Tribolium castaneum: one gene and its partners. The protein of the gene in region 1 purifies or fractionates together with the protein of each later gene. This does not show direct contact. Links are inferred from orthologs where the notes say so. Each region holds a gene or a part of one and is shown on either strand. Other genes may lie near its edges.

What was found. Proteins that work in one complex are often made in the same cells at the same time.
Region 2: the proteins of elgi (region 1) and ema purify together in Homo sapiens (affinity purification with mass spectrometry; 3 studies listed by BioGRID and IntAct, with this or other methods). This does not show direct contact. The link is inferred for Tribolium castaneum from reciprocal best matches to the Homo sapiens genes RNF41 and CLEC16A.
Region 3: the proteins of elgi (region 1) and calcyclin-binding protein purify together in Homo sapiens (affinity purification with mass spectrometry; 4 studies listed by BioGRID and IntAct, with this or other methods). This does not show direct contact. The link is inferred for Tribolium castaneum from reciprocal best matches to the Homo sapiens genes RNF41 and CACYBP.

What each region holds. Positions count from the first base shown.
Region 1 is NC_087394.1:31,067,568-31,078,733, reverse strand, and holds elgi (E3 ubiquitin-protein ligase NRDP1), read right to left. Parts: upstream 3,271-11,166; coding exon 2,990-3,270; intron 2,940-2,989; coding exon 2,495-2,939; intron 2,449-2,494; coding exon 2,179-2,448; 3' UTR 665-2,178; downstream 1-664. Other genes in the region: uncharacterized protein LOC103312325, read left to right, coding at 1-127, 173-393, 439-664; THUMP domain-containing protein 1 homolog, read left to right, coding at 3,594-4,349; scny (ubiquitin carboxyl-terminal hydrolase 36), read right to left, coding at 4,885-5,007, 5,205-6,122, 6,693-6,968, 7,028-7,473, 8,562-8,800, 8,852-9,069. UniProt on the Homo sapiens protein: Acts as E3 ubiquitin-protein ligase and regulates the degradation of target proteins. Polyubiquitinates MYD88. Negatively regulates MYD88-dependent production of pro-inflammatory cytokines.
Region 2 is NC_087399.1:2,866,692-2,877,857, reverse strand, and holds the start of ema (protein CLEC16A homolog), read right to left. Parts: upstream 6,689-11,166; 5' UTR 6,526-6,688; coding exon 6,323-6,525; intron 6,277-6,322; coding exon 6,137-6,276; intron 6,089-6,136; coding exon 5,940-6,088; intron 5,894-5,939; coding exon 5,664-5,893; intron 5,613-5,663; coding exon 4,924-5,612; intron 4,872-4,923; coding exon 4,411-4,871; intron 2,835-4,410; coding exon 2,681-2,834; intron 2,478-2,680; coding exon 2,164-2,477; intron 203-2,163; coding exon 1-202. Other genes in the region: Mt2 (tRNA (cytosine(38)-C(5))-methyltransferase), read right to left, coding at 6,863-7,324, 7,369-7,841, 7,895-7,949. UniProt on the Homo sapiens protein: Regulator of mitophagy through the upstream regulation of the RNF41/NRDP1-PRKN pathway. Mitophagy is a selective form of autophagy necessary for mitochondrial quality control.
Region 3 is NC_087400.1:1,874,521-1,884,823, reverse strand, and holds calcyclin-binding protein, read right to left. Parts: upstream 5,965-10,303; 5' UTR 5,850-5,964; coding exon 5,829-5,849; intron 5,782-5,828; coding exon 5,586-5,781; intron 5,535-5,585; coding exon 5,328-5,534; intron 5,275-5,327; coding exon 5,121-5,274; intron 5,074-5,120; coding exon 4,989-5,073; 3' UTR 4,880-4,988; downstream 1-4,879. Other genes in the region: Agpat1 (1-acyl-sn-glycerol-3-phosphate acyltransferase alpha), read left to right, coding at 2,394-2,559, 2,607-2,770; protein bric-a-brac 1, read right to left, coding at 6,609-6,895, 8,307-8,697, 10,235-10,303. UniProt on the Homo sapiens protein: May be involved in calcium-dependent ubiquitination and subsequent proteasomal degradation of target proteins. Probably serves as a molecular bridge in ubiquitin E3 complexes. Participates in the ubiquitin-mediated degradation of beta-catenin (CTNNB1).

The sequences.
Region 1 (11,166 bases):
TATAACTTCAATTCTGGTGGAAAACGTCGAAACTAACGCTAATTTACAGAACCTCAGAATCGATAAACTTCACTTGATCAGTCCTGAGTGCACCCGGAGCGAGATAAAACAATTCAAAGAAAGATTTGTAATTTCTGAGTTTATGTGAACGACTTTGCAACAACTGTTTCAGCTTGTAACAGAATACGTCTCTGACTTAAATGCTCTATTTGAAAAATTGGATATAAACGACAGGATCGGTGTGGGCCCTGAAATTTCATTACAGCAGTACATGGTGAATAATTTGGGCCTCGACGAAATTCTATCCTTGCAAACAATGAAACTGAATGTGAGATACACCCAAGGTTTTCTGACGCTGCGTAATAATTCGTGGAAAAAAAACATAAACAAACAGTAATATTTAAGATTGTTGGAATACGTTATATCATTGTTTTTCAGTGTAATTGCTTTGGACGAGTCTGGAATATTGCAAAAAATTCTCAAATCAAATTTACGGCCTGTTTCAACTCTCAACTTGAATCCTGGGTATTCAAGTGCCGGTCGTGAACACGTAGGATCCGCAATTTTACTGTTTTTAGGCGGTGTTTTAATCGCGTTATTATTTCTCGTGTCCGAATTCGTGTTTTACTTTTACAAACGGGGTCGTAATCACATTAACATATAAAAATTTACTTGTTTATTACAAGAATTGGCAGCACATAAGAACTACAAAATGCCCAACAGAAGTTAAGTACATTTAAGCCTCAATATTAATCACATTACAAAATAAATAAACATCGCACCCCCCAAAACCCTAACAAAAATTAACTGCAAGAAGCTACACAAATGTATTTAGCTCTTTGAGTTCCTTTGCTAGTCCTCAAAACGTAGGGGAGCTTCGAGTAGAATTTAGTGTTTGATATTTCCATACCTCCATTCAAAAAATTTAGAAATTAAATCACATTTCTGACGTGACTAGTGTTATGTCAGACCAAATCCGATCGGATGTAGGAACGACTTTGTTGTGAATTTTTGAGATCAAATGTCAGATCATTAAACTATACATAACTAAAACGAAACAAAACGGGAAAACCGCACATCCACCAACATTCAAGTCTGCGTCAGCGTTTCCGTTATTGTTGAAAAATCAATATTAACAGCAAATTCTTTGAAAATGCAAAAGTAATCAATTATCCTGGCGGCAGGAATTATTGATGACTTTACGCATTATAAAATCGACAAATGAACACGTTCTGGAACAAAATTGATGATGCAGTCAACGTTTATAATAATTTCTTGATTGCAAAAAGTAAGTTCAATAACACTGGTCTGCAAAAAAATTCTCCCTATTATTATAGGCACTCATCATATATATATGATGCTCGAAGACACAAACTTTTTGTGTAATAAAAAATAAAATGTAAGTATTTTTTAAATTTGGCCTTGCAATCGTTATTAAAGACTTGACTGATTGGCTTCTCCTCCAATTGGAAAATTTAAGGATTGCTATAATATTTACAACAAAAATTATGTGTAAAATACAAAAAATCAATAAAACAATTAAAAATCCTGGTCGTTGATGACGTCACTTTCAATATTCGTGACGCTCCCGGGAGTTTAGACACAGTCAATAATTATTAATGGTTAGATCTCTCATTGAAAGTATAAATTACATTATTATTATTTTTTAAAGTGCATGAATAATTTATTAAATTTATAATTTACATGCGAATACAATCAAAAACACAAGAAAAACGTAACAAAAACAGTTGAAGAGAATTAAATTTTCTACAAACGACGTTTAAAGCCCCTCAAGCGGCGAATTAGTTTCATTTTTACCGGTGTTTAAATGACCCATTAAAGCTATTTATACGTAAACGGGTGAAAATGTTTTAATAAAGTAGACCACAGCCTTAATTTACTTTTGGTTCATGAATAATGGCACATTGCAGTAAGTTACAAAACAGTTAATTTGTTCAAGCTGAATAATCCTGTATCATTAGTGCACTTCCTGTCAATTTTCTAATTTTACGAATTCTAATTGATAAAATTGACTGCATCACCACCAGAACGGAACAATTTGTGGCACTTACAGACCCCAGATTTTATAATAAAGCAGTGAGAAAGATTATGATTAAACTTAATGTAAATTAATGTATTTAAAAGGAATGTAATTAAAAAAAATAAAAACAAAGAGGGTTACTCTATACCGTGAGCAAAAATCATAACTAAACCTGGCTCTACCATCATGTCTTCGCCCATATGCGTATTGTCGCACGCCAGTACCAGCACAGCCTGCTTGCCCGGTACTCTTTTACAAACATAGTTTTCGTATTGTCTCCTATTGTTTTGCCTGGTCTCCAGCGAGCTCAAGCCGGGGGGCCACCTCCTCTCGTGACAATTTTCCATTAGATCGTCTAATATGTGGTTGGGGCACCCCATCTCAGTTAACGTCCTTCTAATCATTCTCTGGAAGGAAATTATGAAAATTTCGCCACTTGTTGATTGAACCTACTTGAAGAACTTCATCTGGTGTCGAGATCATCCCTCCCCATCGGGTGACTCGCGCCCTTTGGAGAAAGTTGCTCCACCTTAAGACTTCATCTCTCTCCATTGCATCAGCTATTGCCCTCATTGAAGGGTTCGATATCCTCATGGCCCTCATGAACTCCTTCAGCAGCTGCATTTCGCGCTTTTGCTCGTTGATTAGGAAGCGCTGCTCGGTGATTTCCTGCTGGAAGTCGTTCATTTTCTGCTGCTGGGTCTGTATCAGCGCTCGCAGTTCTTTCACGCAATTGTGGTCTTTCAACTCATCTTTAGGAATCACTAAACCACAGCCCTTCTCACACGGTAAAGGTCTCTTAGGATTATGTTCGCATTCTTCAAGGTGGTTCGAGAGAGAGTCTAATTTTAATACACGCGTACAGCCATACTGAGCGTTATCACAATTTATACACAGTCTGGAACAAAATATTGAATCGAACGGTTTCATTTCAGACTTTTTGATTACCTAGAAAGCAAGTTTCGTAAAATTCGGGGCACTGGGCGCAGTTGCGCTGATGTGACACTTTGTCGGTCCACGGGGCATGTGGGCTGTCTTGTGATCCATTCGGTTATGCAGGACTTGCAAAATGCATGCTCGCACACAGGTGCCTGCAAAACCAGTAAGACTTTTTCCATTAAAAAAATAAGTAAACACACCTGCAAGGGGTCCTCCAGTACTCCCGAACAAATGGGGCACACCAATTCCTCATCTACATCTCCTTGAAACCTATTAATATCAAAGCCCATTTTAACAGTAACGACCCATCACAATTTGCACGGATTTTAGCACTGCGATTTATTTATAAATTGTAAAATCATATGTGACAAATGTCACCCATCAACAAAATGTCTGACACAGAAACAAAAAATTTAGGAAGTTTTGTCTGTTAGGTTGGTCAGGCGTGATGTTTCAGCTAACCTAATTTTTAAGTGCGTATTTATTTTAACTTTTTATGCTTACAAATAAAAAAATATTGGATTAATACGTGTTATTAACAAAGAACAGTGGTCACATATCGATTTATTTGGTGAATTGTATATTACAACATAGTTTTGTAGGGGTCGTAGTCATGAGTAAGCCAGTTGTTTCCAAACAAAAATCCAAAAAATACTACTTTAAAAAAACTTCCAACAAAAGACTGAGCTTGGACGTGAACTTGCGGGGCTTCCTCTGCAGTTGTAACAACAGGGAAAAGGACTGCATTAAGGAATCTTACAATTTACTAAACGAATATGCTGACAAATTGTACCAAGAGAGCAACGAACCTGAAGCTGAGCAAGACATTGACGACTCGTTGGCTAAAGAAATATCCGAACTGAAGCAAGACAAGAGTGAAAAACGATTCCAGGTTATAGAATCTGGTGCCAAAAATTTCCTATTCATTAGGACGAGTTTGGAGAATCCGGTTGAGCTAGCAGAGGCGATTATAAAAGATGTTGATGGGAGTAAGACCCAAAGAACGAAATTTTTGCTGAGACTGATTCCTGTGGAAATTACGTGCAAGGCGAATGTGAGTGATATTGTCAACGCATTTGTGCCCCTCGCCCAGAAACACTTTGTGGAGTCCCCGCAAACGTTTTGTGTGATCTTCAACCACCGGAATAATAATGTTGTTTCGCGGGATGAAGTCATAAAATTAATTGCAGCGAAAGTGTCCGAGCTGAGGCCTGATCATAAAGTTGATCTTAAAGAGGCAAAAGTGGCTATTATTGTTGAAGTGATAAAGGGGTTTGCGTTTTTAAGTGTTATACCTGACTATCTTAAGCACAAAAAGTATAATTTATTGTCACTTTGTAGTCAAGAACAAGTAGCTGATTGTAATTAATGTTGCAATAAAATTTTCTATTAATATAAAAATTTTATTTCCAAAGTTTTGTTCTAGAACAGATACATGGTTGCATTGCTACAACATGAGTACACATAGTGTAGGTTTGACTATTACCATTGTTTAAAATTTCAAAGTTGCATCATAAAATTCAAAACATTCGTCAATTTCAAGAAGTTAATAAACATTAAAGTAATATATGGTAAAAGTTTAATATCTTTATGCTTAATGGTAAATAAATCTTTGTACAAATAGGAAAAGAAATAGAAAAAATACAGTATTTTAAATGCACTGTGAACATTAAGCTCAAAAAAATGAAACAAATACCACTTCCTAAAAGATTTCATTGTTAATTATACTATCGCTACTTTATTACATCGGTTTTTCAATCAAAATTAGGAATTATAGTTTGTTTAAAAATATAAATACTTACATTATAAATTCACAAATTCAGTTATGCTAAACAATGGTGACATAATATGCACAATTATACAAGTTCAATTGCCTATGTAAAAATATTCAACCTTAAAATTAATCACTGCCTAAAGCGGTAATTTTTATGAAAGCTTTTGTGGTGGAAATTACGACGGTGCCGGTTGCCCGAATAAAACGGCTTGTAACCGTTGTTCTGACTCCAGTTCTTAGTGTTGTGAAATTCCTGAAACAAAAATACGATATACAACAATTCATACAAATATTTGAATACGAAACGACAGCTAAAATCACTCAATTTTCTATATTTTTATCCAAGAAGTTTAGGAAACTATTTTTAAATTTGCAAAATATTTTTTAATATATTTAATAGCTTTTCAAAAAATATAAAGAAGCTATTATCGGAACTAACAAATTACTCACTTGTACGGGATTGTAACCAGGATTAGACTTGTAGGAGTTATTCAGTTTTTGATGTTTGACTTTGCCTTGGTCCGAATTATCACTCAAAGCTCTCTTTCTGTCTTCTCTCCTTTCGTTGCTAATTTCCTTATCTAGCTGAGACCTAGTACCGTTCCACGAGGAAACAGGTGCCGAATACCCACTGTGGGACATTTTGAACAATTCGCTAACAGTCCCATCTTGTTTTTTCTCTCCCCAACTTTTACTCTGCGTCGTTGGTTCAGTTGAAGTAACCTTCCAATCGCCCACTGCCGCCTTCGTAGAAACTCTATACTCCACATCCTGTGGCGACTGATTCGATTCGTCGGAACAACTCGAATCGTCCGTCTCATACGGAACCAATTTCGTAGTAACCGGCTGAAATGACCCTTTCTTTTCCGCATTTGTTGAACTAATCGGTGTTGTACTATTAGTATTGCGTGGCGATAACGTCCGATTCTTTTGCATTAGTGGTGATTTGGCGGTTTCCTCGTTATTTATGCTAGGCATTGATTTTTTCGGGGGAAGCGGAGGTGTCGCCACCGGTTTGTTTTCTTTTTGTGGACTTTTTTGCGGATTTTCCGGTTCGCTGTCGCTCGTTCCGGAACTCTCTGAGTGATTTCCGTTACCGTTAGTGACCGGTGTGGGGTTAACACCGTTGATTTTCTTTTCTACTCGGTCGGGGGGCAGTTCGGGGCCGTAGACTTTGTCGCTCGTAAAACCGATACCGTTCAGTGAAGCTTTTGATGTGTTGTTGCTAGTATTTGCTTCGGGAGAAAGCGGAGGTTTTATCTTGTTGTTTGTCCCGTTATTTGATTTGGTAAATGGAGATGACTCTAATTCGTACAGCATTATGTATGCGTTTGTATTGAACACAGCTTGGTGAGATATCACCCGCACCTGTGAAGGAAGGGAGAAATAAATTTTTCGTCAATTAATTATCCCCTACATAACGTTTTTGTAGACACACATGTTTGTATTATGAATGCGTAAGTTTTATAACTGTCCCTAATCATATTATTACACAATTATGGGGCGAAAAATAAGCAGAACCTTGTAGGTATTTGGGATATAATATTTTTTGTAACATGTCTTACGATCTTGTATTACATGGTATGTCACTGATAAAATAAATTATTGAAATAATTCTTATTAGAATAAAAAAATGCACCCTGTTGTTTTCCTTGACCTATTTTATTAGAAATAATGTATGCTCCAATTGACATTTAGCTTTCATCAAATGTTAGTTAACGTAATGAAAGTCGGAGGATATCTCCTTCAAATACATTTTTCTTAAAAAACTGACGATAGCACATTTACGATGCTTATTTAATATTTTTTACTTAGAAAAACTTTATTTTACAAAGGTTTAATCAGTGTTTAATAGTGCCTGGGTCACCAAATATGAAGCAATAATTTCATAGTGTAATTTTTAATGGAAACTGGTCAGTTTGTCAATGTTACTCTTACCATACTATCATCAAACTGGTAAAAATTACCAGACGGCGCTTGGGCAACTGCAGTGTAGTGGCCACAATTAACAGTAGGTCCCATATGTGTGACTAAGGCAACAAGTCTATAGATCAGTGGAACACTGGGACGATGTCTGGCATACCTTGTTAGATCCAGTCTTTGTCGAAAATGTATATGTTTAGTAATTTTATTATTGCTAACAGAAAACCGTTTGAGTTGTATACAAAGAACCATAGGGGCTCTTTCAAGGGAGAACTGTTTTGTTGCAGGTACCTAGACAAGAGAAAACATAGATAAGTAACAAAATCAAACTTTTGAATACAAATACCCACTTTTTTCTGACAAGACTGACAATGATACGAGTCATCGTCCAATTTTTCCCTAGAGAAGTAACCTTCCAACGCCTCGTCGAGCGTTTGAGCTTTCCTAATGTCTAATAGTAAATCTTGAAAGTGTTGGAAGGTGGTGCTGACGTGACCACACTTCAAACATCTCACTGCCGATCTTAAATATCCGCCTAGTATTTGATTGAGAGGTGTGGTCTCTTTCACTTTTGAATCAAATTCGGAATGGTTTTTAAATCGACTTAAATAGGATTTTTCCATTGCTTCCACTAGATATCTAAGAAATTCGTGCGCATCTTCTTGCCGACCCGGGATGAGGTTTCGACACACCAAACGCAGCTTGTTGTAGATGAGGAGAGGACGGATTGTGTTTGTGTTACGTTGTTGGGAGTCTTGGAGAGTCTTCCGCATTGCACATATTATGCACAGCCCACCTGCAAAACATAAGAAGCTCTCAGTCAAAAAATTCACTCAATTATTTATTAAAAATTTCGAAATGTCTTAAGTTTCGTGATTAAAAAGCACATGCTATTGCTTTATTTGCTCATTAAAAACCACTTCTAATTCTAATCATTGCTTCGATAAGAGTTCTAGAGGTAAGCTAAACAGTTATTGCGCAGTTGTATTCACAATATTATCTTAATTGATCAAATATATTGGCGCCATTCTCACATTTTTATATTGTCGTGTATAGAAATTCTGTTTATGCGGCTTAATAGTGAATAAAATAATTTAATAATAAATAAATTAATTAACATAATAACAAGGCCAGTCAGCTTGCAATTTCCGTGTAAAATTTTTGTAATGCTCGTTTACAATTAAGTATGTTTGTGTCACAATGACAGTTTCAAAATTGAGAGCTTTCGTAATCAGCCCAAAAACAATTAATGTTTATTTTTTAATCAAACAGATGTGAACAGAAATAACTAAGACAAAATCGTCAATATTTTGGTAACAAAATAAATAAAAAATAAAATTAAAATTAATTTTTTTTCAAAATATACACCAAAACCCGGAACTTCCAATTTTTTTTACTAAAATTAACATGAAAAAATTTGTTAGTGGTGTCAACTAAAGATAAGAGAGTAACATTTCTGTTAAAAAAAAGTCGCTTCAAATTCTCAATACCACGAAAACTGTCAACAAACAGGAAATTTTAATTTTTACTTTTCTTTTCAACGGTAAATAAATAAAGGAAAATCAGAAATAGTAATCAACGAAAGAACCAGTGTACTGAAAGATTCTTTGACCTTGCCGGTAATATAGACATCTACACTAATCATATTATTGGAATTATTTTTTTTTATTATTTGAAATTTTAAAACAATACGTAAACAGCGAGCAGAAGTGTTTTAAATTAAATGTTAAAAATGATTATTATGTAAATAAAATTTTCCGTTTAGAAGATTTGATGTTTTACTTGATAACACTAGATTTTTTCCATACTGTATTTGCTCAACTAGATTTAGAGCTTATTTTTAATAAAATTTTGTAAATAATAAAATGCTTGTGGTGAACAAACCTGAGTCCTGGCATTCAGCTGTGTGTTCCTTATCAGAAATGAGCCAATTGACAAGAGCGGGAACGTGGAAAAGTGCTTGAAGCGTAGAGTTGAGATAACAGGTATTTCCCATGTTAATCATGCCGGCCCCCACTGACCAGTCACATTTACTCCAACCTAACTGCACAGCTTCAAAAGGATACAGCTCGTAACTAGCCAATTTGAGCGTTTCATCCGCGCCCATGTCTCCCTCAGGCTTGCTGCGGATTGAGCGAAAAATCACAAGAGCCCCTCAAAACGGCGAAACTCACCTGGGCTGCGGAGTCTCCGAGCTTTTCAACACGATGTACTTCGACTTGAGTTTGTCCAAGACGGTGCTTTGGTAGCTCCCGGCCGGCTCGAAGTCGATGTTGGACAGGAGGGCCTTCTTGGTGGATCCCGCCAACTGCGTGTCCAGAGAACTGTCGTCGGTCTTGGTGAGGGCGGAGCGCAAAGCCGCGTTCACGGGCTCGAGGGTGGACGCCGGCATCCCTGTGACAGCTACACGTGCCAGAGAAACCCCGCGTTGTGGCGGCCACCTACCGTATTGTCTGGCTTCGAACGGTGCTAGCTGGGGCTCGGGGGCTGTCGGTGCAGCATAGTCTCGAACACTGGCTCGGGGGCGAGTTGGCGCGACGCGGTTTTTTATCAGATAACGCCAATTGCGCGATTTATTTAGAACATCAGTGGCACCACCAGAATTTGCTCCGAACGACGATTTTCAGCTTGTTGTCACTAGTGCGCATGTCAATTCGCCCCAAGGGCAGCGCGACAACTACGAGCTCTTTTGGTATTGAACCGTACTTTTCCAAATCTATAATTTTTACGGAGGGTTATTTGTTATTGCTTTAGGTCTTTTATTATTAAATATTTGCCAAGGCTCAACACCCACACATTTGATTCTTATTTCAATGGTTTGGTTATTTTTGTTTTTGTTAAGGGGTTAAGGTTACCGAAATTTGCCGTTAACCAACTTGATTTTTTTTGGAATTTTTTGGAAATTGCCAAATGTTTCTAATTTTATTAGTTTTTTATTAATAACTCAATTATTGTGCGCAATAATGATCAGTGTAATTTTACTTGTTATTATTTACTTTAATAATTAAATTTTTGAAAGGTGAATTTGTCCAAAATTGAATTCCTCTGTGGAAAATTTTAACTTGTTAAAAAAGGGTACCTTAAAAACGGGTACATTTTTTAAAAAATGTTGTGTACTAAAGGAGGGCCTTGCTAGTAATTAATTGCTATCACCTTTTAAGATAAGATTCGTGTGTGACGTAATTTGTTGATTATACTTTTACGACACTAATAATACGTATTAGTCGTAAAAATAAAATTCAATGCGTTTCCATGCAAAAATTTTAAATTGTAAGTAAAAGTTTGAATTTAAAATATAAATTAAAAAAATACTTGATGTGAGCAACCAGGAATACGCATCGGCACTACGGGTAACATACACAGGGTGTCCCAGCAAATATCTTTAAATTTTTTCCTAAGCCGTATATACTGACCTCTGGGTGACTGATGTGCGAATTATTTGCGGGTTATTTCTCAAATTTTCTTAGACGGAATCAAAAACACTAATTGCACTTATGGCTTGATATTGCGTTTAAAACTGATAATGATGTATCGTTCTCTTTGATGGGATTTGGGTTGAAGAAAAAAAAATGTAATGGGAACATGGTATTTATTTGGGTTTATTGATTTGTAGACAAAGACAAGATATATCACATTAATTAAATATATAGAATACAATATTTTGATTTCAATTGACATACAGTACATTAAGCTCGTTATGAAGGGGTGAAAAAATAAATTTAGTCTGAAAGCTCAAGCTTCATTATATTTTATCACACAGTCGGAAAGCGTTAATAAATAAATAAGCAAGGATTTTGATTGCCGCGTGGTAAAGTGTGCAAGATATGTATAGGTTCTTTACAATTCATATAAACTCTTATGAACAACAGTGTATATATAAATTATTATCTTTTTTAATAATTATATGATTGTTTCATGTGCGTTAATAACGTACTACATTTTTATATTATGGATTTACGATTTAATTATTTTCATAATTTTATGCACGACAGTAATAAAATTATGAAGAACAACGCGTACTACATACATAAGTAGAGGTTTCCTAACACGTGTAACAGGCGTCAAGTGTATTACTGTCGTATTTAGATTTTTATTTAAAGTTGCGATAGTTTAGTCAAATTCACATCGTATTTACTCTTTTAACATCAGTTAAAAAGATGTCCAAATGATTGTATAGACTTCACATATCAAAGAAAGCCAAAATAGGAGTGCACTTAAATCGCAGGTTCATATTCTAGTAAGGGCAACATCAATTTTTTTCATCCAAAATGCCAGATTGCGTAGAAATCGCTTTTATGCGTTGTGTGCGGATTGTCTGGAGTTTTTTGGCCAAAAGGCCTACAGTGGTTTAAAAAAATACGAGTTATGGTTCGTTCTGCGATGATATGATCAGTATTTTGATTCGGCAACCGTAGAAATAAAAAGCCCTGGCATTTTTGACGTTGTTTGTACGTGTTATTGTAAGAAATCTAGCTCTAACACGTTATCA
Region 2 (11,166 bases), on another chromosome or scaffold:
CACCTGGGGGGCTCTCCCAGCGGGGGGCGGCAAAACCGGGCCCCCGGGAGAGGGCGAAGGGGCGGTCGCGGAGGCCTCGCCCCGTGGAGCGGTTGTAGAGGCCCCCGCCGACGAAGGCGGGACTTGGGGGCCCCGACTGACCGGGGATTTCGAGGAGGCGGGCGATGTGCTGCATTTTCTTTTGACGAGCCTTGATACGGCCCTGGAAAATTGGAAAATTCGTCGCTATTGAAGCGATTTTCGGGCCTTTTTTAATCACGAAACATGAAAAATTATCACTTTTTGTGTTAGAAACCACGAAATTTTGTCAAATCTTCACTTTAGTTCACAATACATAACACTATTTCGCTCAATTTCGAGCGGTTTTGCTCATTTTTGTGACAGAAACCTAAATTTAAGAGATTTTGTCGAAACAATCAATAAAAATTGCTTTAAATGACAATAACGCATTTTCATTCCGTTTTGGGCGATTTAGCACGTTTTTGAAAAAAAAAATAACTACAAAAATGAATGTTTCAGGTCAAAATAACACTTTTTTTGGAAGATGAAAGTTGATTTTGAGCTAGAAACAAATTAAATTCCAGAAACTTTTTGTCGAAACAGCAAACTTCACCCAACTACAAAATCAGTGTTTTTGCTGAATTTTTTTTGGTATTTGCGAATAAATCTAATTCATTTTTGAGCCAGTAAGCACACACTTCAAAAGATTTTTTCAAAATATCTAAGAAAATTTTCGTATTCCAATCATTTGTGAGCGATTAACTCGTTTTTTTATAAAAAAAATCACGAGATTTTCCAAAAAAAACCTCAAAAACACTTATTTTTAAGAACTGCAAGTAATCAAGTAATAATTTTTTTAAGGGATTTTGTTGAAACAACCAAGAAAATTGTGTCAATTCAGTAAATTTTGAGCGATTTGGCTCATTTTTGTCTCAGAAACACTGAATTCAAGAGATTTCACTAAAAAATCACCTTTTAGGTCAACTGTTTGTCGTAAATTAATTAATTTCTGGGCCAGAAATATACTAAATTCACAAGATTTCGTCGAGATTACTAACAAATCTGTCACAATAAAGCTAAAATTTAGCTCGTTTTCGCACATAATAAATAAAAAAAATAACAAAAAAAAACGCTAGGTAGGTACTTGTGCAAAAAAAATTAATTAATTTTTAAGCCAGATACACGTTAAATTCAAGACATTCTGTCGAAACAACTAACAAAATAGTTGGCAGTTTCATATTTTTCGAGATAAATTTTCAACGATTTGTCCTTTGAAAGATTTTACAAAAAAATCGACGTTTTACATCAAAATAGATAATGGCTATAATTACTAAATTTAAGAGATAAAACTGTCGATTTTGGGCGATTTAACTAGTTTTGTACAAGAAGCACACAAAATTCAAGAAATTCCTCTCAAAAAATTACATAAAACCAACATTTTAGAACAAACTAACACTATTTTTAGCAAGTGCAAGTAAAAAAAATAAACTTTAAAGCCAGAAACAAACTAATAAATTCCAGCTATTTTCTCAAAACTCCTAAGAAAACTGCCACTTTAAGTCACAATAACAATGCTATTTTAGTCAATTTTCAGCGATTGAGCTCGTTTTTGTGCCAAAAACACATAATTATTGAGATTTCACCAAAAAAAATCACACTATTTTTGCTTGTTCTATGTAATCTAATTCATTTTTAATCAATAAATAAACTAAATTAAAGGGATTTTCTCGAAACAACTGTCAAAATTGTTGTTTTAGGTCACAATTACGCTATTTCAGTCAATTATTTATCAACAATTTGGCCGGTTTTTGTACCAGAAAGACACTGAATTCAAACGATTTCACAAAAACAAACACTCTTTCTGGCTATTGAGTGTAACCTGATTGGTTTTGAGCTACAAATACACAAATTTGAAAGATTTTATCGTAACAACTACGTCAAATGATTTATTTTGGAGTGAGAAACACTATAAGTTTAGAAGAAATTATCCAAAGTCACAATTATGTCAGGGTATTTTCTTTTTTTTTATGTTTTTTTTTCTTATTTATTATTGCAGTTTTTGTATTGAAGGACTAACTCGTCTGTTATTTATTTTTGTTCATTATAGACAATAAATTATATAGTATAAATTATTATTATTATTCAAGATGTGATTCCACTAACCTTTGTTAATCTCTGCTTTGCCGCCATACACCTGATATTATCGTCGAAAACAAACTTGGCACTGAGCAATGGCACCCGATTGGTCGTAGTCCCGGACAAAGGCCTATGTATCGTAATATGCAGACACCTAGAATCATCCTTATCCCCAGTCACTTCAATATCTTGAAGAAACCCAACCAACTTGGCCACCCCCCAGCCCAACCTCTTCGTATCTGGTTCAACCAGAATCAGCTGCAAGACATCAATGACCAGAAATCGCCTCGTCTTCGTCCCGTCTTTCCAAAGCACCGTACACGCGATCAAATCGGAATTATCTGCAACAAAACGGAAACATTCTCATCAGGCGGCCTCGTCTGATGAAACACCGCCGAACGAGACAATCGTTAAATCCTCTCCCACTAAAAACCATGCAAAAATAATAAGAAAAATCAAATAAAAAGCGTTGTGTTTCATACTGTAGTTTATTAGGTTTAAGTCGCAATTTAACGATTGTTTGATTCGTGCAGTTGTGACACACAACGAGATATACTCAGGTCCAAGGCTTGCTCAATCTGGACGCAGCTCTGGGGGTTGGTGAGCGGCAGTTGGGTTTCCAGCTCGCCGTTCAGCGTCAATACCACGTTTCGCACCAGGAAAAACACGCGGATGGCTCGCCGCGCCCGCTCGACCTGCTCAAATGAAAATAACACTACTACTTACGAAGACAAAAGGAGAAAAAACAACCATAAAAGAGAAACAGAGATAAAAAAGCACAACAGCAAAAAATACAAATAAGGAAATGAAAAGATTTAATTAACAAAAAACTACAAATAAATCTTGTACTATTTTTTATTTATTTTTAATATCTTGCTACAAACTGCTAAAAAGGAAAGGGCATTTTTTAAACCCCACGTGGTTGTTACTGCACAAATTAGTTATTAATTTCACAAATTAGAGCACTCCTTAAATGTAATATGTATTGCTGGTTTTAATTAAAATAATTTCAAGCAAAACGATTTTTCTGAATAAAACGAAAAAGTTGATGTACCGGGTTCGTCAAGTTTTACACTCAGGCACTTTACACCTCTTAGAAGAGAGAAAAAAAAATGAAATAAATATATTCCACTGCACTGATATCCAATCTCTCTAGGAAAAATTTTTTTTTCTATTGATTCATTTGTCCAATAAAAAAGAAAGAAACCATTTGACCAAAAAATCACATCAGCTGTTTTTTCCATCAATGGATCGGAAATACGAAATAAAATTATTCTGCAAAAATTTGACTTGAAAAAAATCGTTAGAATTGGATTAAAAGCCATTTTGATATTATTCATCGGAAATTTCAATATAATTTATGAGGGACAAGATTGAGTAGTGATAAATTTCCGCTACAAAAGGACCCAATAACAGTAATGACTGCAGAAATTTTACAACTAGCGGCACGGTCCCATCGGGCGGTTTTAAAGCCAGGACCGGAATAAACACACTAACGTGTTAAAAATGTTTTATTAAAAAATTACATCAGAAGTTCAAATTGATGACTATTTTGGTCTAAGCACAAATAAATTCTTCGTTTACAATTCGCATGAACCCTTGCCGTAAGATTTAAAGATTAACATTCCATTTAAACAGTAAACAGATAAAATAAATGGTAATCTGGGCCTGAAAAATTCTTAGCAGCTGCCTCAACCTTCAAACCCAACAATGATCGCGTGCCAATTTTACGACAAATGTAATAAATTTTTGAAAACCGCCACCCTGATGGAGACCTTTTGTGGAAGTAATTTGCAATTTTACCAAAATTCATGGGAAAAAAGCTGTCCCAATATCAAAACAGAATTTAAAAATCAACGACACATTTTCTCAAAAATTTAATTAGGCACTTCGATGCACTACCTTAAAATACACCTATGGACCAAAGATCGTTAACATTAGACTATAGTTAACTAAGCGAAAGTGAAAAAACACACCATACAAGTAATCATTTTAAAAACTGGTCAAATCGTTCTTCTCTACAATAAAATCACATACGATTTTTTTTTTAATTTTAAATAAATTACAAAGAGGTGAAAAGTGCCTGAGTGTAAAACTTGACGAACCCGGTATAAATCATACATAGTTAAATGATACCAGTGCAGTTCCAATTATACGCAATTTATTATTGAAATTATTATTTTTTAATTATTTAAAAGTAAATAAATCTCGCACAAATAAATGAAAATAATAATAAAAAAACGGATTATGCTTTTTTCTTGTGTCAACTCTCACCTCTCCGCAGGGCAACCTCTTGGTGAAATCAATCCCAGTCATGGGTGTGCCCGTTGGCGGCAACAAAATCGCGCTATCCATACACAACCATTCAACATTCAACGAAGTCTTCGACATATCACAGTATTCATGTTCAAACATATCGAGAAAAATCTCCTCACTCTTGTAAAAATTCCTCAAGAGCGCCGTACTTTGCGTTTTCGCCGACTCTATCGTCAGTTTATGCGACTCAAGAAGTACACTTTTACCATCAGCCATCACTAGTTGCACCAGAAGCTTCAAAGCCAACTCAAGCGTCACCAAACGGACGCGACACGAAGGCTGACACGACAGCAGCACTATGTACAAGAGTTTGTCCACCAGATAGGTGTTATAAGTGTAGCGGACATCGCGAGATAAAGTCTTCGACGTGTAGGTCTTTTTAGGCCTTAATACTTGTTCGTTTATGTCCGGCATTATCCCTAAAAATCGATGCAAAACCCAAAAGACAAAAATTGCTAAACTGTTCCTCACCTTTATTGTATGCCATGGCGTACAGTAAAGTGAGGGCAAAAAGCGCAGCGTAGTCGTTTTCCGAACAGTCCAATGCGTTGTAAACCGTTTCCAAAAACGGTTTTTCCGACACACTTTCACTCTCAGTCGGCGTTATCGCCAATCGTTGTTTCTCTTCATCGGTGATGTTTTTATGTTCCTCAATTACATCGTCCTTGAAACTGTTTTCAGACCCACTGGCTTCTTCCTTTTTCCCGTTTTGTTTCATTTCAAGTTCGTACGCTTCTAGCAATTTCTCGACGCCTTTATCGTAAATCGAGCGATCGCTTTTGAGGATTATCCAGGCAAGGGTTTGGACAACCGGCGAGTGCGAAATGATGAGACAAACTTGCGACAGGAGGAACAAAGCGACAACGCATGAAACCTTCCCGGTTGAGGGTTCGTGCGAAATCCCACCGTTTGATGATGATGATGATTCGTTTAAGTTCAGTTTTTGATTGAGCGCTTTTGCGATTGCTTCCACACCTCCGGTGGGCTTTCGCACCGTTGACAGCGAGTAGATGTATAAAGGGATGAGGAGTTTGTGTAAGAGGTGGTCGGTGAGGACTTGGTTCAAATCGGTGATGTTCAAGCAAAGGATGTCGTTTAAGTAGTGGAGGTGGTCCAAGTGTTCTGCTACGAGGTCAGACAAGCGATTCTGCGACTGATGACTGGAAAAATATTGGTAGTTCATAAAATTACGTATGTGTGCGAAATTTTACTCGGCATCGTTGCGGACACAAGCATCCAACTCTTGGATATGTTTGCCAATGAACCAAACAATGTTGGAAAAATACGGAGCTGCGGTTCTGTCTCTGATGAACGCAAGCATACTTGCGTCCTCAACTTTGTAAACATTCAGCGTCAAAGTACGTACTGCTATCCTGACCATAGACTCAGGGTGATTAAAAAACTTGATCGCTTCCGTATACAACGGAAAATCATTAGTATGCTACGAAAAATCTTTACATAAAGACAAATGTGGTGACACAACATACTTCATTATAGAAAAAATGTATCGTATGAGCGTTCAGTTTCAAGCTCAAAGTTTTCAAAAAGGAGATATAGTACGCCATTACTTCCTCGTCCGAAAAATCGAACTTGTGCACAATTATCGAATTAACGTGATTATTTGATAACAAGTAATCTGAAAAACACCTTTGTTACAAATTCAAACGAAACCTTCCACAATTACATAGCGAAGTTTCGTTTCTAATATTTTCGAATAGGATATTAAGCGTTTGGAGTAACTGGACGCAGACAAAGCTCGAGCCCCCGCTTCGTTGTCTCATGATACGCAGAAAGAACGACAACATGTTCTTCTCCAAAAAGAAGCTGCAATTTCACGATGACTCCCATCATAACGGGCAAAAAATCTTACTCAAAAACGGACGAGTCATTTTGGTCGCCCCAGATTAGAATTTCGGCTATGGACCGAAGGGTTTCCACAAGCAAACCCCGGTTGTGTTCCGACACTGTTTGGTTCCGAGACAACACGTTGTATAGGTATTTCAAGTGTTCCAGCGAATGGGGGTTCTTGGGGCGGCCCCAGCCACCACCGAACCAGCTTCTACTACGGAACATTGCACAGTTTTAAGCACCATAACCACGGGTTTGCGACATTTTTGCGATAATTTAATTAGTTTTGATTTGGACAGGGCACGTTTGACAGATGTTTGTTAACGTCAATCAGCTGATGCGCATATTCCCATCAGATCGAAACGAATTTGTGGATTTTTCCATTAAATTTCCGGTTAAATTAAACACACAAACAGAAACGCATATTTTGTCATTACTGTGGGATTATTATTGTTAAATAAAATATTTTTGTGACAAATTTTGTCGTTTCGCGGGCGTTATAATTGTCATTAGTACGAACTGTCGCATTCACAACGGGGAATCACCCAATAAAACGACTGAATCATTGCAATAGTTTTATTAATTCTGCTACAACACGGACGTTAATACTGTTCCCCAGTAACATATACTTTTGTTTATCGCTTGTATTTTCCGGGAATGTAAAATCTTCAGGAAAACTCATTAGCCTGCCAACCTCCCTAGGTGTAAAAAACCGCATTTTCAACCCATGTGCTAATTTCAAATAGGCGCTACTTCCAGGCTCGTGGTCGGAAAGTTGGTTGAATATTTCAGGTGTAATTTCGGGCAAATCGCTATAAACACTTCCGGTGCCTTTAACGTAACGTCCGTAAGCCTTAGTGAAACAACACGTGTTTCTCGAAGTGCTATAACGTATATCTGTGGTTTCCAAATAATTTGTTAGAACTTTATCGGTTAAATAATACGGAGTTAATTCGTTTTGTTCCAAAACTTTGCTGATTTCAAAGCAATGAGGGGCGTTTTGTTGATTAGGAAATTCCGTTTTCTGAAAAAAAAACCGTAATAATAGTTAATTAACGTAATTCGTACCAAAACTCCTGTCTTAAAATTGAACACATTGGGAGGTTTTTTGGCGAGACAATAGTACCGATGCCTGGTGTTAGGTATCCCAATTTGAGTAGGCGTGAGAATAAATTCCTGGTAATTAAAGCCGCATTTTTCCAGCGTTTCAATTAACAAGTCCCTCATTTTTGACCGTTCAAAACCTTTCACGTTTTCTATTAAGATTCTAGTCACTTTGAGATCAGGTAAAATCGCTAAAACGTGGATGAAAGATTTGGTTCGTTCATCGTTGATGTCCTCCTGAAGGCCGTTTCGGGTAAAGGGCTGACAAGGGGGCGACATTAGAATTGTGTTAACGCCTAATTTATTTATGAACTGTGGTGTCAGGCTTTGAACGTTGCGATTGAGTAGATTTATGTGCGGGAAATTGTGTTTATAGACTGAATTGGCTGTGGGGTTGATGTCGACTGCTGCTTTAATTGTGCCTTCTACCCCACTAACTGTAAAAAATAGAAATAAAGCGAAAATTAGCAATAAACTGGGCATGGGGCACCTTTTAACGCCCAATGCATCCCCCCAATGCCACTGTACAGTTCCAAAATTTCCATTTTTTGCTTTGTTTTTTATTATAGGTTAAGTTAACCTCATTCATTTCAGTTCAAGGGCTCTCAAACTTTGGGACTTATTCGGAATAATTTTTTTGAGAAAACTATGAATTTTCGATTTACTCAAATTTTACCAATCAATTCGATTTGCCATTCTCTGTGTACCCACAAATTTTTGCTAAACCATTCCAAGCCAAAAATTTTTATTAATCTACCTGTTCAGAACCACTGTTTTGAGAATTTTTAAATAGTGTTTCTTGCATGTTCCTGTGTGTGGGAGGTTCGAATTCCGGTTCTGCCATATTTTTTTTCGCAATTTTTATAAAAAAACGCAAATTGTTATAGAAAAATACACACGACTCTTGCAAACTTTATTGTATATACCGAATTTAGTACACTTTAAATTGTAACAAAACAATTAAAAATGTAGTTGCGGCATTCAAGAGACTGAACAGTGTTGCCCTATTTATGCAATAAAATCTTGCTGCGGAAAATTCAGGGCAACTTTGTTCAATTCTTCTCAAACAACGCGATCTTCGCTTATTCACTTTCTTTCTAAGGAAAAATTTAATTTTTAATAAAATGTTGAGAATCTCTTCATATTTTTTCAAAACTTGGTCACAAACCAGGGTAAAGTGCAGAATTAAAAGCTAAAATTCTGTTTAAATCACGGTAAAGAACCGAGAATACTTACCCAAAAAAATGCCATTAAAACGATTTTCAGTGAGATTTCGAGAACAACATCGATGTGCTGCCTTTTTCTTAAATGCTCTGGCATTTTAACAGTGTCGTCTATGTAAACAAGCGTTCTACAAACGACAAAAAACTCATAAAACAAAATATCCCAACCGAAAATATCATTAAAATGCGACACAGCTTTTTGTAGGCAGAAAAAATCGGGTTGTAGTTTAGCCAAAGTTTCGAAAACTTGGTCAGAATCGACGCTATTTGCGATACGTGTCAGTAAAGTTTTCTTCTGAAAGTGGTAGCATTGTTGAATCATTTGCAACACCGTAATGGCAGTAATGATTGAAAAAATTAGCCGAAAAAATAGCACCAGATCGCTAACACTATAAATTAAGAACCTAAACCCAAACATTTTCATAAACACAAAAGTATCGTAAAGTCTGGTTATCAAAACAACAGTAAACCAGGCCATAAACGTGCACTTGCAGTTGGTACCGCTGCTACTAACTTGCGACAGATTTTTCACCATGTAGTACCAACTTCGGGTGGTGCTGTTGATTCTAATCAGCGAGAAAATTGCTGAAAAGTACGAATTCATGCTGACTACGACTCGCAAAGAATTTTGCATTAAACTTCGATGTCTGAAAACTGCACTTTGCAGAAACATACAGAATGAGGAGGTTATTGTGTAAATTATGATCAAAAGTAATGCGTAAAAACGTTTTTTAAGCGAAGGTTTTTTCGTTGTTGGTGTTTCGGGAGTCAGTAGAATGTATTTTCCGATTTTGAAAACTGTATCAAGTGCTTTCAAGCTCATTTTACGAATGAATAATGAGAAAGGGAGCAGCTAATGGATGTAAAAGCGCTCTAATGTTTTAAGTATTTGAAATTGTTTACTGGAACAAAGTTTAACTAGTGCTTTAAGTGTTTCTACTTTCTATAAATAAGTAATACTTAAAACTAATCAAGGTGCAGTTTTCTGTCTTAAGTTACACGTCGTTTAAAATTCTACCCTGAGTTCAAACTGTAGTATAATAATTACAAAAGTAGTTACAGTACTTATAATACTGAAAACTGTGGATTTGTTAATGTCGTAAAATCTTGCGGCCGAAAATTTCGGTCGACATTGTTCAATTTCGTTGAGCAACGAATATTTTTTGTTATTAGTAGTTCTGGCAAATATTTCTGAAAAATCAGCGAAAATATCGTCAAATTCTTTCACGACTTTATCTGCAAGCATTATGAAGTACAGTGCATAGGTCTGTAATTAAAAATTCTTTACTTTTATTTAAAAAAAAATGTTTTTTTTTACCCAGAATTTAACTAAAATCACAAGTCCCCCCAAAACCTCAAGTGAAAAGTTGTAATAAACAACTCTCGTAATCATCCCTTTGGGACTTTTCACATTATCGTCAATCAAAACAAGAGTTCTACAAATTCCAAAAATGATAAAGTAAAAAAAATTCCACCCGAAAATATCATTAAAACAAGAAACAGCCTCTTTGAGTAAGAGAAGATTGTGTTCCACACTTGGCAATGCTTCAAAACCTTTCCGAATAATTTCTTTCTGCGAGTGGTAGCACTGCTTCACCATGTGCAGCACCGTAATCCCCGTAACAGCTCGAAAGAAAATGAAAAATATTTGCAAAATTTGGAAAAAGTGCGTTTGAATAAATCGAAACGCAGCTTTCCTCATAAACGCCACTTGCATGCAGATGAGTATCAAAGTTTCGCTAACAAACCATGCCACAAATGCGGTTTTGCGACTGGTACCACTGCCACAAACTTGCGACAGGTTTCGGATCAAGTGGTACCAACCGCGAGTCGTGGTTTTCACCATAACTAAAGCAAACACCGTCGAAAGTAATAAACTAAAATCGGAAAGTACTCGAAGAACCATTTGCATCAATCCCAGGGTTTGGTAATGGGGGATTTTGCAAACTATATTAACCAGGGCGCCAACTGTTAGAAACACCATCAAGATAAAGGCGTAGATTTTTCTGCCCAAAGATGGGGTTTTTTCGGAGCGTGATTTTGGGGTCAAAAGTGCAAATTTTCCCAATTGGAAAATTGTGTCAATTGTTTTCACGTCCATTTTTCGTGGGAAATGAGACTAAAGTCGGATTATTGACTGTTTTGAAAGCTTGCTTTGCTTAGTTGTTTGGTGGGCGTCGTGTTTTGTTCATTAGTACTAATTTTTGAAGTGAATAATTTTATATCGATTCTTGACAAGAGTGTAGATTGACAAATAATGGACAAAATTGCAGTATTTTAATAAGAAATATAAGAAAAAATATTATATATATATTATATTAAATATTATATATTATATATTATATATTATATATTATATATTATATATTATATATTATATATTATATATTATATATTATATATTATATATTATACATTATATATTATATATTAAAAAAAACTAAAAAAGAATAAAAGTAGAACCAATAAATGCGTTTAACCAAATATTTTACTTATGAGTAATGTTGGTTGCCTATACCATTTAATTTTATCTAGGATA
Region 3 (10,303 bases), on another chromosome or scaffold:
ACATCAATTATTTTTTACAACAGAAAAATTTAAACTAATAATGTTTATTTGAGTGCTTAAAGCAAATATTTGTTCTTCCAATTTTAGGCCATCTAATCATGTCACGCTTTACGACAGATCAATTGTGTTTGAATAATCAATTTTGTAACAACACTGAAAAATTTATTTAAAAAAAAATCAAAAAAATATTGAGTGGTTTAGAATGGATTTATTCAGATAAATGAACTGAACAGATCGTACGTCCTGACGTCAAATTCACTATTCAGGCACGTGGTTGTGAGAAGCCCTCTTATAATAAATCTGAAGAAAATCAATACGTTTAAGATAATTAAAAAATATAGGGCAAGACACGTGCCTTGTTTTCCAAACAGAAGGACAAAGTTTTACGTTTAAAATAATACACTCGAACTATTTAAATTTTTTAGATTAGGGAATTTTTTACTATAGATAATAAAATTAAATAAATAAAAAATAATAAAATAAAAATATTAAAAAAACACTAAAGTTATGTTTTTTTTTAATGGAACACCCTAAATTTTATTGCATTTTTAGACGTAATTTTAATACTGATGATTTTAATCTAAACTTGTATTTGTCGATTCTGCTTAGTTTTTGAAATAATTTGAAAAAACGTTTTATTTAAAAATTTATTACACAAAAACGGAGAATCGTAGAACAGTAGGACTTTCACTACTTTATAGAGAAAAGTTCAAACTTAAATCTGTTCCAATTGTTTGGCGCAATGCAATTAGAAACGTAAAAAAAATAAGAAGTTTGTTAAAAGTTGAATAACTTGAAAAAGTTAAATGGAACACCGTATTTTTTGTTCTTGCTTCTCAAAGATTATTAAATTGTCTAGCTAAAAACATAAAGTTTCAAATGTTTAAAGTTAATAACTAAAAAGATATTTTACTTTAAAAGTTAATTTCAACAACAATGCACACTATTCATGAGCATTGTTGTTACCATAGTAACCATACCATAACCATAGCAACTCCACCCCAGACCACTTGATGGAGTTTATACGGGAATTAAAAATTCGCCAAAAATATTAAAACTTTAGTTATTTCACTGTAATAAATGACAAATAATGGCCTAAGGGTAACATAAAGTTGTTATTAGCAGAAAATTTCACTTTTCGACTACTGAAACAATAGTTAATTTTTTTTTAATGTTTAATGTTAAATATCTTTTGAATAATCAGCAAAAGACACTTAACTGTTAATGTTTTTAGAGAGACAATTTAAAGGTCTTTTAGATGCAAAAATAAAAAATTGGGTGTTCCATTTAAAATTTTGAAGTTATTCAACTTGCAACAAACCTCTTCATTTTTTATCTTCTTGATTGCAGTAAGCTAATAAAAATTATAATTCCTTCAAGTTTGAACATCCATTTTAAAGTGGTGAAAGTTCTACTTTTCTGAGATTCTTAGTTTTTATGTAATGATTTTTTTTAAAAAGCGTGTCTTTGTCACAAAAATCAAATTATTTCAAAAATTAAGCAAAATCGACCAATATAAGTTTACATTAAAATCATCAGTATTAAAAGCTACGTCCAAAAATGCAATAAAATTTAGGGTGTTCCATTTGAAAAAACATAACTTTAGGGTTTTTTTTAATATTGGAACAGCCTATATATAGAGTGCAATATTTTATAAACATGCAGCAACAACACAGCTATAATCTAAAAAAATGAAAAAGTCAATTATTGCATCGGATATTTTTCATTTAATAAAAAAACTTTACCCATTGGGTGCAATTTTAAATGAGTGATTAAAAATTTTTGAATAAACATTTTTGTAATGTTTGTTTGTTCATAATGAATACAGGAATACGAGCAAAAATAAACAAAACATAAATAATAATATGTTTTAAACTTCAGTGAAAAACAATACAATTTTAAATGTGCATGTAAAACACTATTATTAATTATTAATTTTTCCAAATGTAAGAGATAAGAAATAATCACAGATTTATGTCAAAATGCAAGTTCTGAGGATTTAAACACGTTTTTAGACAAAAAATCAATTATAAAATTATAAACGAAAGAAACGAATAGAGTAACGTATTGTTTTTGTATGTTGTTGTCCTACATTATCAATATGGCCTATAATAATAATAAACCATGTTGGGCAACTCAATCATCGTACAACAAACAAGTTTTTCTCATTTTTTCAAGCCTTATCGACTCCGATAACTGTATGCAAACATTGCCTCCCACTCATCTTTTGATGAGTAGAATTTTAAATAATTCATACTTGTTTAAATTTTTCTGGATTGTTTTTGTTTTGAAGAACAGTTTTTTTTTTCTTTTTAAAAGACTAAAATAGCGCCAAATCCTTTAATTTTAAAGATCATAACTTATAATAATTTTCTAAAAACAATTAATTCCAGATCAAATTATGGGTGTTCCCTGAAGGCACACGCCGTAACACCGGTCAAATCCACCCGTTTAAAAAGGGGGCTTTTCACATAGCCATCTCGTCGAAATTGCCGATTTTACCGGTGGTTTTCAGTCAGTATTATTTCCTTGATAAGCAAAATAAACGCTTCGATCACGGTAAGTACATTAAGGTGGTAAATAGGTTTTTACAAACACCTCAATAGGTAAGGTAATCGTTACCGCACTACCGCCTATTCCAACTGAGAATTTATCACATGACGATTTGGACGAACTCATGGAACGCACGCGAAACGCAATGTCGACGACATTCCATGAAGTGAATAAAGAGATGAAAGAGTCTCTCGTGAGACCGTTTTCTAGTCAGTAATTTTAAAAATAGCGATTTTATTTAATTTATTCCAAGACAACGTACTTTAAAAGACGCAGCAGAAGCCGGGGCTTGATTATGTTTTAATTTATTTTTTTTCACCGGTTTCAAGATGCCATAACTGAGCGAACGAAGGCTGTGAGATTAGGTACGATGTTAGAGTGTTTCTTGCCACTTTGCAATAAATTCACCGAAAAGGCGCTTTAAAATAAAAAACGTACTTTGTTCGTTTAATGCCAAAGTAATTATACGTGAGAGGACGGAACTTAGTCAAATTTGCAACGTACTGTGCAAGGTCGCGAGGTTGTTGGTCTTGTGATCTTGAGTTATTTAAAGAAAAATCAGAAATTAATCCGAAGTCTAAAAAATTAGGACGTCAAGTTATTTAATTATTTAAATAAGTATCAGTGTTTGAAAATGTTTGCAACAATTTTTGTCCCAAAAACCTTAATTCAAAAAAATATTAAGCTAGTCGAAATTTTCGATTTCTATCTTTATTGTTTTTTATAGTTTTATTTATTGACTGATTGTTTTTATTTTGCCACGGCTTTTAACATTTACAAATAAAACTTTCGTTAATCTTTCCTGCAAATTTCTAGCTCCAACCAAGGTTCTGTAATTACTTATAATTATTTATGTAAGTAATTAATGAACCTTGATTCGTGATCTTGGTCTATTTTGTAAGGTTAATTTTTTCACGTGTAAAATAATATTAAACAATAATTTTTTTGGTAGTGCATTTGCTCCAGGAACAATTTTTTATTTTCCGGAATTACTTTTAAAATGCTTTAAACACAGTCAGGTGACCTTTAAATCATAATAGTGCAGTTATTTATTTACATAAAACAAGGCCAGTTTTGCATCAATGTTTCAAGGGAGTGAAAGTATTTGTAGTGATTTTTTAAAGCGTTTTTTCAGTGCAAATGATCGAATTTATTTATTGGTTTTATAATGAATGGCACGATTTTTACGGTGATGTACCTAATTTATTTAAGTTAAAAAAATGTATCAGAAGTGACGAAAGAGTATCAGGGTGTGCTTAATTTTTTATTTCTTGTCACTTCTGACACGTTTTCTATTTTATTGAATAGAACTTTATCCACTATTTTGTATATTTGACACAGTTGTACTTTAGTTTTAAGTAATTTCCTCACTATTTAATTGATAAGAATTTTGTTAAGTGGGTGAATAAAATTTCAATTAAAATAAGTTATACACGTGATTGTAAAGTGCTTCCCTCTATCCTCTGATAAGAAACTGACAAGTGAAAGTTTTATTAGGGACAAAATTTAAATTCAATTCGGAAGTAAAATTACCGTTGGGGGCGCCACTGAGCTAGGTCGAAAACAGTAACCATAAATGGCGGGAAAATGTTTATTCGGATATTTTGAGCGTTGTACGAATTTTGGGGCTTCACAATTATTGCATTGCCTATGCGGAATAATTATTGCATCTTTGATGCAAGAAACTTATGTTGACAAATGAGAGATGACGAGGAAAACACGAATAACGAATGACTGTTTGGTTCACTTTCTTTATTAGAAAATTATTACAAAGACATTGAAAAGCGTACCTTTTGGCATAATTTACGTTTAAATGTATCAGCAGTTGTTAATCTTTATTGTAGTTTTGTAGATTTACCGCAGCATTTCATGATTTTTTCAGTGGAAAATTCTAACCTAAAATTCATAACACTTCACTAATTTATTGGTTTCTTGAGCCAAACTTTGTGTTCGCTGTGATCCATTACTTATAATCTTTAATTAGACAACAGTTTGATAACACTTTGTAATCAAAATTTAAATATTTTTCACTTTTTATCCACTTTCAAGTTCCAACAATAAACACTTTATACCACGAAAAACTACAGAACCAAAGTCAACGCTAGTATTTACCACCACGTACTTTTAAAGTAATTCTTTCTATTGTAAGTAATTAACACTATACACGCAAAATTGTTGAACAATTCATTAAATGTCAGTTAAATGTGGAATTACGAAAATTTCTTTACTGTTTTCGACATAGTTCAAAAGTCATCACCAGAGGGCGTCTGATTAATTTTATTTCCGAATTGTATTTAAATTATTCACACCAATTGAAACTAAAACGTTTAATACTTCACATTGTATTTATTACTCCTTTCTTAAATGGGGGCCAAATAACGTAACTTAAGCTCCTCCAAAATATCAAAATAAAAATAGAAAAAAATAAAAACCAGTTAGGATAAGGATGACGATTTCATTTGACTCTCAGTCCAGGCTTTAGCAATTGTCCTTTTCATTTCGTCATCGCCTGTCTCATACCTAAAAACCAAATCAAACGAAAGTCCAAATAATTTGAACCAACTTACATATTCTTCATTAGTGACATAATGCCCTCATTGGGGTCCACATTATCCCCAGTTTTGAATTTGGCTTTTTGTGCATCATCTACTTTTTTCTCAAGCTCAGTCACGTGAGACCAGGGGTCCCCCTTGACCTTTGATGCATTTATTACCACCATATCTACATCAAAACAATTTTAATTAAATAATTAACTTGGTTCAAAAATATTACACCTGACTTAATCTTCCAATTACTGGCCGCTGGGTCAACAGCCCCCAGAAGATTGTTAATAGTGAAGACGTAATCTTTGTTTTCGAGATCTCTCACTTCCAGCTCTAGCGACTTATTCGTGAAGTGGCAAACGACATTTTCAGGCGGAATGGTCTGAACTTTGGGCAAAGTGACGTAGAATTTCACAAATTTCGATGTTTGATCCCAAGCTGTCCCAAAAACACGCAGTCAAGACGTGCAATTTCAGTGAAAAAACTCACCGTAATTGTTTAATTTGACGCGATAGCGCTTATTCGTTGAAGTGACTGGTGTTGGAACAGTGGTTGTGTTTAATTGCTCTTGTAATTTAGTTATTTCCGTTGAGATTTTCCTAACTTCCAGCGACAAAAAGTCTTTGACTTTGTGGCGCGTTGCTTGAGCTTCGAGAGCTTGAAGCTCGGCCAAGTCTTTTTTGAGCTACAATTTTAATTGAATTGATTGTAAGTGTTAATTAATTAACTTACTTCGTCAATTTTTCCGGACATTTTTTACTTCACTGGGCACAAAAGTGTGGTTAGAAAAAATTCCAGAAATGTCAGTCAAATTCTGGAAAGTTCGGCCATACCAACCGAGAGACGCTCAATTCCCGAGGAAAGGACAGGGCCGTATTGAGGACAAGTCGTGGGTTCCCATTTTTTATTAACGGAAAATTAATACAAAAACGTTCGATAATAAATAAATAAATAAAATATCCTGACTGGTCAACAAAAACAATAAAATCACTCCCAACTCGTCATAGAAAATAAAATAACGGAAATAAATATTTGGTATAAATCAACAAAAATAAATAACAATTCTTTGTCCGAAAACTATGGCATTGGTGTGTTACATCAGTTCGGGTGACACACTACAGCTAGGTACTTGCAGTCTTTGTATAACGTCCTGTAATTGTGGATGGTTGTGTTCACTGTACGAGAGAAGTATGGGTCCGTTCAAGGTCGTGAGACAGCCTTCACAATTGAGCGTTTTCTTCTTCACACACACCCACATATGTCGGTTATTTTTCGTATCACAATGTATGTAAATATGACCTTGGTGGATTAGAACCAACTGGCCACGCCCACTTTTAATCAACATCAAACCGCCACCTGTTGATTAGAAACTTCTTTATTTAAAAAAAGAACTTACAATTGAGAGAAATACAAAACAGTCTCACAAACGTCACTGGATGTTTTGGCTACATATCGAATTTTTTCTACCACTAAAATTTGACACTCACAAAAAATATCACAAAAAAAATCTTCTTAACTATACGAGGTCTGCCATAATACTTCTTGTAAATTTTGTATAGGAACTTCAGTGTCTTCGTCCGGGTTAAACACGTCGGGAATGACCGGATGCGTGTGCATGTACGGCCATTTGACAATGTTTCCGTTCATTGTCCAACAAACCGCTTGGCATTTTTCCGGCGATCGGCTGTTTTTACAATACCAGAACGCCTTGCCTTTGTACACACTCTTCTTATAAAAGACGTAACCATCAACGATCAGACGGGGATTACCGCGTCTTCCCAGAATGCACTGCAGGGTGCCTACAGATCAAATAATACACAACAACAATTAAATACCAATCAAACAACAAACTACTACAATTATATGGCATTTTGGAGCAAGTATCATGCAACAAACGTACTACTATGCTACTGTACGAAAGCAAAAACTAACTAAAGAGAAAGAAATGCCATATAACGGAAATTATAAGAAAATAATTGAGGTATTTAAAAGTTCAATGTGTATTATTTTACGCAGGTCCCGCAAATTTTTGCACAATTTCATCACACCGTCACAAATTTTTTTTTATTTTTTTTTGTTCATTATTATGAATAAAAAAAACATATTACAAAATATGTATGTAAAAAAATGTAAAACTACAGGGTCGCTAAAAAGTATAAATACAGTTAAATATTATAAAAACTATTGATCAAAACTTATTAAAATTTGGTTTTCAGATGTTTATTAAATTTCTATCTCCATTTGTTCTTCAGATACAAGGCTAACTTATTTTTTTTTAATAGCAACAAGGGTCAAATTTAATATTTTTGAGAAGAGCATTTTTTTCTGAGTTCTATGGTATAACACATGCATACCTTAATTTAATCGAAACTTAAAAAAATCGAAAATTTTGAAAAATGTAAAATCTTATTAGCCTTGAAAATGTTGTCTTTATCTATCGTTAGCTCATTAACCACAAAATAAGTAAAAGTTAAAAATAATTGTTAAAATAACACTTTTAACGTTTTAATTAGGAAATTTTAAACACGGAATACTTGATTTTTACGCTACAAACGATGTTCAAACTGATTTCCACTAACTTCTTGGCTTTCTGTCTCCATGATAAACTAACATGGGAATTTTTTTCGCTCAGTTTTACTTAAATGTACTATTATTAAACTAATTATTGCACCCAAGTTTAATTTTTGGCTAAAATACAAGTGACCGATATCGCTTATAACGTATTTTCAAAGCCAACTTAGTTTTACTATTCCAGAAAATTTTTGAATTTTTATTTTTTTACATTTTAATAAAAGTAAAGGTGGGTATCATGTTACATCATTGAATTCAGAAAAAATGCCCTTTTTAAAATGGTCAAATTTGACTCTTCGTGCCATTTAAAAAAATCAAGTTAGCCTTGAATTTTCAAAATAAATGATGATAAAAATTTGATAATGCTCTCAGATGATAGAATTTAAACACTTTTAACTGTTCCCCAAATTCCAAGGTTTTCTGTTAAAACGTTCTGAAAATATTTAACTGTATCCATACTTTTTAGCCACACATAAAAAGTCATTGTGGACAGACCTTATTAAAAAAATAAAATAAATGTTCAAGATCGCCACTTTTACACCTAATAACATAATCTACTTTCAATCAATGGTTCTAAAAATAATTCAAGCCAAAAACATCCATTTACATAAAAAGCACAACGATCACAGTTTCGCATACCTGGTGTTGACGAATCCTGAGGTTTATTGATAATTTCGGAGGTTTGCCAACTTGACGACTCCCCAATTTTCGTATCCAACATCGTTGACAAATCTAAACTATTTTCTTCAAACTTTTGTGAAGTGTTACTTTCGGTATCATCCAGAGGCTCTTCCTTTGGCTTCACTAACGCTTCAGGAAACTCTTGTTCTTCCTGTCTGATAGGGGGCTCCTCAATGTGGGGCCGTTTAGGGGGCGGAGGATGAGGTGACCTTGGTTTGGGGCTGTCAATAGGTCGCAGGGGCTGCATGGGCTTTATCACTTTTTTGACAGGTCTTGGTCGTTTCATGATTTGTCTTTGGTCGGAAAAACTGTACGGGATTCGACTGGATGCAGTGTAGCCGTTTGATTCCTAAAAATTACCAAGTGCTTTACTTTTTTACGAGAATTTATTACTCATTCGTTTAACTGTAATAACATAAAGTTGTATTTTTTTAAATAGGAATCATAGTTGGCTATGACATTTTTGAAAAAATTATTTTTTTCTGATTTGATATGTCTGTTTGTGTAATACATTAATTTTAAATATTTAAGAAAAACTAAAACATTTCGCTTTTTCTTTATAGTAGGCCATGAAAAAATTTTGGATTTTTAATTAAAACTATGAAAATTGTATTACCCAACAAGTATTTATAATTTAATGATTTTTTAATCCCTAATTAATTCAAAAACAGCATAATAAATTATTATTAGATCAAATTTTTGCAATTAATAAAAACTATTTGTTTTTATATTTAAAATGGCAAGCTTACGTTGTCATTCTATTTTCCAATTTTAAACAAGAAATGTCGGAAGAAGAAAAATCTTATTAATTGTATGATTGCCTATCAATAAAATTTTATTTTACAAAAAAATGTCAATCCAAACACCAAAATCAAATTCCATCTGCGCTAAAAAAATACACAACATTATCAACGTCACCTCCATTGCACTAAATCATAAAAAGCGGCATCTAGTGGTAGTGACACATCGTTTGCAATTTTCTGTACATTTTTTATGTAATTAAAATCTGCGACGCTCGTATATTTGTTCAATTGAAAATAACTTTAACTTATTTTTATAATTTCACATTTTTTACTTTAATAACCGTTCACAAAATTTCTAGATTATTCACACCTTTTATGTGAAATAATTTTTCCATGGCCAACTACTTTCAAATATTTTAAATATATTTTTATCAAAAATATACAAAAACATCAAACTATATTTATATTGTTTTGAGTTCGGAAAAAAAATAAGCTTTTCGAAAATGTCATAGCCAACTATGATTCCCATTAAAAAAAATACAATTTTATGTTATTACAGCTAAACGAATGATTAAAAAAAATCGCTGATAACATTACTAAATTCTCTACAAAAAAGTGCCTGTATAATGACTTTGTTTCAAACGTGAATCCTTTATAATAAAAAAGATATGAATCTTTTAAGATATAACTCGAAAACAAAAGACAATAGCGGGATGAAGTTTTGACCAAAATTATAAAAAAAAAAAAAAAAAATTTATTAAAAATTAAGTGACACGTATTTTGTATTTTTTCAAAAAAAAAGTTTTCAATTTATTATTCTTAAAAAATAGCCTCCCAAGACATATGTTTATTTTTATATCTTGAAAAATATTTAACCAATTTTTATGAAATTTGACATGCGAACGTAATTTTTATTTATCATAAGATAGTGTAATTTGTACTTATGTAGGGTGCCCCAGAAGGGGGCTGAGTGCCCCCGTGGAATAAATTGTCTAATAACTTTTTAGGACAAATTAGTTCAGCTTTGGTATTATGTGTTTATTATTATTTTTCCTATTTTTTTCACTGTAACCACAATCTGTTGATTAATAAACTATTATTATTATTATTTAAAAAATGCTAAATAAAAAAACGATGTCTTACGGAGGACGAGGACGAAGACGAGCTGTTATCAGTCAACCCCTTGACTTTCAGCATCTCCGCCACCCTCAT